2 linked regions of the Oryctolagus cuniculus genome follow. The protein of the gene in region 1 interacts with the protein of each later gene in a pairwise test. Links are inferred from orthologs where the notes say so. Each region holds a gene or a part of one and is shown in the gene's direction. Other genes may lie near its edges.

Region 1 (2,441 bases):
CCTTCCTCACCCTCACACCTCAGGCGCCCCCAACACTGCCGAGCTCAAGATCTGCCGGGTGAACCGCAACTCGGGGAGCTGCCTGGGCGGGGACGAGATCTTCCTGCTGTGCGACAAGGTGCAGAAAGGTACACAGGAGGCAGGCAGGGCCGGCCTCGCCGGGCGGGGAGGGGCAGGGCTGCAGCCAGTGGACCGCGGTGCGCTGGGCCCCGGACAGCTGACCCCCACCCCTCCCCCGTCTCGCAGAGGACATCGAGGTGTACTTCACGGGACCGGGCTGGGAGGCCCGAGGCTCCTTTTCACAAGCGGACGTGCACCGACAAGTGGCCATCGTGTTCCGGACCCCGCCCTACGCGGACCCCGGCCTGCAGGCGCCCGTGCGCGTCTCCATGCAGCTGCGGAGGCCCTCGGACCGCGAGCTCAGCGAGCCCATGGAGTTCCAGTACCTGCCCGACACAGGTACACAGCTGCGGTGGGAGCAGGCCCGTCCAGCGAGGCCGGAAAACCTAGGGGCCGAGCTCGGGGTCTGCGTAGAGCAGTCTCGGGGCTGGACGGCGTGTGCGTGGTGAGGGCGCGGCTGCGTCAGCTGACGTCCTGCTGCGAGGGGCCGCGTGACAGGAGTCAGAGTCCCCAAGTCTCCCTGAGCCCGAGGAGCAGCCGGCACGCATCGCAGCACTGCCCTCATCCTCGTCTGGCAGAGCTCCTGGGGAGGAGGCAGCATCGCGCCGGCCGCAGCTGCAGGGCCGGCCAGCGGCAGCCGGCACCGTGCTACCCGGCCGCCGTGTGCTCTGGTCTCCGGTGCCGCCTGAGCCCGGGGCCTGAGCCCCCTGTGTGGACAGAGATGAGTGCGCCGCGTGCCCTGCCCTGTCACGTGAGGAAGACACATGTGGACGAGGTCCTGGCGTCACAGGGCGACACGCGAGGCGGAGGTGGCAGCTGGAGCCCTCCAGCGGGCGCGAGGTGGCGTTCACCGTGGAGAGGGGCGCAGCTGTGCCGTCTGCAGGCAGGGCGAGGGCAGGTGCACAGCCTGGCGGGCAGCTGTGTAGTGGGAGCCGCTGGCAGGCAGGGAGCAGGCCCAGGCGGGAGGGTCTCGCTAGGCTGCAGGCCTTTGTCCGGGCTTCTGTCGTATGGCAGTGGGGAGCCACGTGCAGGGGTGAAGGGGAGACTCGGGCGGGGTGGCCTTTGGAAGAAGGTGCCGGAGTCCAGGGAGAGGCTCAGCCCCTTGCGGGAGGAACGGCTAGGCCAGGCCGCGGCACCTGCCGGTCCGCTCGGCGCGCTTTGCCAGGTCCCCTAAATCAGACCCCCCACCCAGCTTCCGGGGCGGTGGCCACGCTTCCTTGACCCTCGGCGTTCCGGGCCGGAAGCTTGGGGTCTGTCTGCGTTCCCGTCGCTGTGTCACCTCTTGGCAAGCAGGCCCCGGTGTGCTCACTCAGGCCCCCGTGTGCTCACTCAGGCCCCGTGTGCTCACTCAGGCCCCCGTGTGCTCACTCAGGCCCCCGTGTGCTCACTCAGGCCCTGGGCCAGAGGGGCCTGGCACAGACGGCTCGGGTGCCCGGAGGGCACCGCGGGGGCGGGGAGTGGGAGCGAGGCTGGGTCCCGGCTTCAGCTGCAGTGCAGTGGGCGCGCAGGAGGCGCGGGCTGTGGGGCACCTGCTTTGCCTTCATTTACTTGAAAGGCAGAGAGCGATGGCCGGCACCATGGCTCACTAGGCTAATCCTCCGCCTGCGGCGCCGGCACACCGGGTTCTAGTCCCGGTCGGGGCGCCGGATTCTGTCCTGGTTGCCCCTCTTCCAGGCCAGCTCTCTGCTGTGGCCAGGGAGTGCAGTGGAGGATGGCCCAGGTGCTTGGGCCCTGCACCCCATGGGAGACCAGGAGAAGCACCTGGCTCCTGCCATCGGATCCGTGTGGTGCGCCGGCCGCGGCGGCCATTGGAGGGTGAACCAATGGCAAAGGAAGACCTTTCTCTCTGTCTCTCTCACTGTCCACTCTGCCTGTCAAAAAAAAAAAAAAAAAAACACATTTAGAAAGGCAGAGAGCGAGTGATCTTCCGGCACCGGGATCCAGGCTTTGAGGAAGATGAGGCTGGCTCCGGCCGGTCTGTGGGATCAGAGACCCGAGAGCTGCGGAAGAAGCAGGGAGGGCCACAGCGGTTCTCGGGCAGGGCGGAGGCGGGGCCGGGCCGGGCAGCAGCCGAGTGGGAAGGAGAGCTGCCCGTGGCTTCAGGGGGCCGCATGGGCTCTTGAGGGAGGCTCCTGCTGGGGGGCCTGGGGGGCGGGTCTCCGGGAGGCCTGGCCCCTCCCCCACCCAGGGGAGGGGACCCACTTCTCGTTCTCCCAGACGACCGGCACCGCATCGAGGAGAAACGCAAGAGGACCTACGAGACCTTCAAGAGCATCATGAAGAAGAGCCCTTTCAGCGGTGAGGCGGCGGGCGGAGGGGCA
Region 2 (4,257 bases), on another chromosome or scaffold:
ACGTCAGGGAAGGAGGCTGAGGACATCTGAAATCAGTGACCCCAAGGGAGGGAGGGACATGGCTTCCTGGGGCTTTCTCCCCATCCGGGGCTCCTGGCTGTCTCATGCTGACACATCCTCCCACTCCGGTCCTCCAGGGGATGCAAAACTCTGGGGAAGCCTCTACCCCCCCCACCCTGCCCCCACCACTTCCCTTCCCATTTCTGTTCCCAGGGAAGCTTCCCAGCCCCTCACTCCAGTGGGTGGCTTGGCCCCACTCTGTGTCCCCACAACAGCTGTTCTCACTGTGGTCTTAGCACAGCCACCCTCTGTTGGAATTGCCAGGGGGGCTTTGTGAGGACAGGGAGGGGGTGGGAGGTGTTTTGCAGATGGGCGTGAAGGTCCTTGGTCATTGCTGTGACAGTTGGTTCCACCTCCAGCCACGCAGAAACTCTGTCCATGGCTGTCCCGTGGCTGAGTGGACAAGTGCCCACGACACCCACCCCAGCTTGCTTCCCCACTGCCAGAGATGGAGAGTGGTGGACCTGTCCGTGATGAGACCCTACGGGCATCGCTGGCCCTAGGCTGGCAGTGCACTGGGAGCAGGAAGAAGCAACAAAGGAGTAAATCATGGGGCACCTGTTTGGGGCTCACCTGTGGGTGGCGCCCCGGCCTGGGAAAGCAGGGACAGGGAAGGAGCGCAGATGTCGTGGGGGCTGGGATTGGGGCGGGGTGGAGACCTCAGCAGAGTGCAGCCCGGCATGTCTGGGGCCTCCCCATCCTGGCCCCACCACGAGGAACTAAACGTCCCTGACCGCGAGGGGTAACCAGACGCTGTAACCGCCTGAGGCCAGAAACCCCCTGCCCCGCTGTGCTGCTCAGACAAGAGTCGGCCTGCGAAAGCTCACTCTGCAAAAGCACTTCGCCATGCCCGATCCACGTGACCTGGGGAACCGACACAGGGACCCCAAGGAAAAACTGCCCCTCCCACCCCTTTCCGTTAGGATAACAGGTGCCCTCTCCCCCTCCCGTCCCAGACTCCTGGGTCCTAATAAGGAAAGATGAGAAAGCAAGGGAAATGGAGAGAAACGGGAGGAAGCCACGCCAGCCCATCCCACCAGCCGCGTACCCACCCCACCAGCAGCAGCCCAGCCCGTGGAGACGACCAAGAAACATCCCCCTAAATCAAACCAGCGGATCAAGGCACAGAAGTTTAGGACAGAATGAATGGATGCAATGAAGGCGCAGAATGGAGAAGGAAAAAGGAGTGGACGGACGGACGGACGCACGGACACACGGCCGCCCGGCCGGCCGAATTCGTCCCCGGAGCAGTGAGTCAGGACCAGCTAACCACAGACCCCGAACCTACGCACGCCGCGCGGAAAGGGGGATTCCGGAGGGGCGGGGCCTCGGCCCGGAAGCGCCCGTCGGGGGCGGGGCGGGCGCGCGGCTCCCTCGTTGGCCCGAGGGGCGGGGCCCGGGGAGGACCCGATTGGGCGGTCCAGCTGTCCAGGGTACCCGCTGCGGCGGACCCCGCCGGCGCTCGCGGACCCCTCGGACTCCGGCGGCTCGGGAGCGAGGCCGCTGCGGCCGGGCGCGCGCTCTGCCAGGCGGACCGGCGACCCGGAAAGGCGGCGCGGCGGGGTCGGCACCAGCTCCTGCGCGCACCGGGCCCCGCGGGCCGGCGCCGCGGGCATGTCGGAGGCGCGCAAGGAGCCGGACGAGGCGGACGAGGGCCAGTGTGACTCGGGCATAGAGTCTCTGCGGTCGCTGCGCTCCCTGCCCGAGCCCACGCCGACCTCAGCCGCTGCGCCCTCGGACGGCGGCGGACGCCAGCCCTGGACCCATCCTCGGGGGACCACCAAGGTGCCACAGGAGAAGGAAGACGCCGACGGGGAGCGGGCTGACTCCACCTATGGTTCCTCCTCGCTCACGGAGTCCCTGTCCTTGCTGGGGGGCCCAGAAGCCGAGGCCGAGGCCCTGGCCCCAGGCTCGCCGCTGCCCCGCGCGGGGCCGCTGAGCCCTCAGCAGCTGGAAGCGCTCACTTACATCTCAGAAGACGGAGACACGTGAGTGGGGGAGCTAGGCTTGCACCTGGGGGGGGGGGGGACCCTGCAGGCACCCGCCCTGGGAGGGACAGCCCCACTGTCCACACCTAGCTCCTAACTCACTCCACACCTAACTCGGCCCCCTGGCAGGGGATGGGCAGCGCTGGCACGCCCTCACCTAGGCGGCCAGCATTTGGAAATCACCACTAACCCACTCTTGGGAAGAGAGAATTCCCCTGACCAGTCCAGCTTTGTTTTCTTGCTGGGGGAGGGGGCATCCTTGTTTGCTCCTGACCTCAGAATGCCCTGTCTCAAGGAACAAGAGGTGCCAGTTACAGGTTGCTGTCAGGGCCGGGAAAGCTAGGTGCTAGGGTTGGGGCTGGCCCTAAGGAGGAGGGGACGAGCTAGCCTGGGGCACTGGCCCCAGCAGACTCACAGGCAGCTGGATGCCCCGGGCCTACTTCCTTGTCTGTTGGCGAAGGGGAAGTGAGGGCTGGAGCCAGCCAGACTCCCTCTCAGCCTCCATCTCCTGAGCCCCCCAGCCCCCTCTGTGTGCTGTGCTCCGCCCTCATTTTACCCTTCCCCGGGGCCCAGGTGGAATTTGGCGGGGACTCGGACAGGGGGCAGTTGAACTAGAAGCAGCTGTAGGGTGGGATGGACAAGCCAGTTAAGATCTTGGCCCCCAGGAAGAAGAAAACCAGCAACAAGAGGGAGTGGCCGGGATTTTGAACTCCAAAACTGGGGAGGGGAGTAGGGGAGGGCTGGAGTCCAGATCGGAGATGCACGGGCAGGGGAGGCAGGAGCTTCCTGTCCCGTCTCGCCTCCTTGAGATGCACTTCTGAACACTCACAGAGATCACCACAGGCCTCTTGGGACTCTGAGCCTGGATCAGCAGCCCCCAGGCCCAGCACCCCAAGGTGCTGGTGGCTCCATGCTGACCTTCGGTCCAGGGAGTGGAGCCTTCTGACACTGCCTAACGCCACCCTTTCTACCAGCTCTGGCTAGCGCCAGGTGCTGGGTCCAGCCGAGGGACAAGTGTCAGGATTCCCCAGCGCGGCCACCAAAGAAGAGGAGGGGCCCTTGCCTGCCTTGGAGGTGTCTGGGCCGCAGGAGGTGTGGAAGTGGGAAAAGGAAGTGGGAGGGGGCAGGGGGCGGGGAGCTGCAGGGAAGAAGGGAGGTGGCTGCAGGAATGTGACCCAGAGGGCAGGCCCTGGCCGAGGGGATTTCCAGAGCCGTTGCTGCCTCCCTCTCACTCTGTCCTGGGCCAAAGCCCGGCCCCTCCTGCCTGAGCAGCCCCCTCCCCAGCCCAGGCAGCTACTCCCCTGGCTCGTGCCTGAGGCAGCTGTCCTGGCTGAGACCCTCCAGCTCCGCTTTCATTTTCCCCACCTGATGTGGGGAAACCCCAGGACTGGAACTTCCCCTGCAGCCGCCCCCCTCACCCCAGGGCAGAAGCTCTGGGCCCCCGCCTGCCTGCCCCTGCCACACACTTTGTGCACTGCCCAGCCCTCCCCTTGGTGGTGCACACCACAGGGGTGGGTCTCTGGGCAGTGCTGTGGGAGCAGGGCTGGCTGCCTCCCCTGGGACTCTGTGACACCCAGAGGCCAGGGTGGGACCCCGCATCGGCCTCCCACTGGCCTCCCTGTTGGGGAGAGGAGGTGGGGCCCTGGGCTGTGGAAAACCCCCTCTTCACCAGGCCGGCCGCTTTCAGTTTGCCCCGGAGCAGCAGCTGGCCGGGCAGGGCCCCGGGGGCAGAGGAGAGTGGGGTGTGGGCAGGCCGGACAGGAAGGCCCTTGTGCCGTCAGCACCCTGCCCACGTGCCCACCCAGCCAAAGCCTTCCTGAAGGCCAGGGATGGGAACTTGGAGCTCCCACCCACGGGATTCTGGCTTTCCACACCAACCCTCACTTCCTGGCTCAAAGTCTCACTTCCTGCACCTACCCCGTGGGTAGCTAGTTAGAGGCTGCTGTGTGCCTTCTGTACCGAGTTCCCAGACCCCACCCCCGGCCCCGGCCCCGGCCCGGGCCCTGACCCTGAGCCCTGCGCTGCTCCTCCAGGCTGGTACACCTGGCAGTGATCCACGAAGCCCCCGCCATGCTGCTGTGCTGCCTGGCTCTGCTGCCACAGGAGGTCCTGGACATTCAGAACAACCTTTACCAGGTGGGTGGGGAGGAGGGCCAGTGCTCAGGTGCCCACGTCTGCCCTGGCCGCTCGCGCGGGTAACCCAGTGCCA

Evidence for each region.
Region 2: the proteins of RELA (region 1) and NFKBIE interact in binary tests that used the Homo sapiens proteins (3 or more experiments, as listed by UniProt). The link is inferred for Oryctolagus cuniculus from reciprocal best matches to the Homo sapiens genes RELA and NFKBIE.

The regions. Positions count from the first base shown.
Region 1 is NC_091432.1:6,042,636-6,045,076, forward strand, and holds part of RELA (transcription factor p65), read left to right. Parts: intron 1-23; coding exon 24-128; intron 129-246; coding exon 247-459; intron 460-2,337; coding exon 2,338-2,418; intron 2,419-2,441. UniProt on the Homo sapiens protein: NF-kappa-B is a pleiotropic transcription factor present in almost all cell types and is the endpoint of a series of signal transduction events that are initiated by a vast array of stimuli related to many biological processes such as inflammation, immunity, differentiation, cell growth, tumorigenesis and apoptosis.
Region 2 is NC_091436.1:125,868,227-125,872,483, forward strand, and holds the start of NFKBIE (NF-kappa-B inhibitor epsilon), read left to right. Parts: upstream 1-1,457; 5' UTR 1,458-1,674; coding exon 1,675-2,048; intron 2,049-4,081; coding exon 4,082-4,184; intron 4,185-4,257. UniProt on the Homo sapiens protein: Sequesters NF-kappa-B transcription factor complexes in the cytoplasm, thereby inhibiting their activity. Sequestered complexes include NFKB1-RELA (p50-p65) and NFKB1-REL (p50-c-Rel) complexes.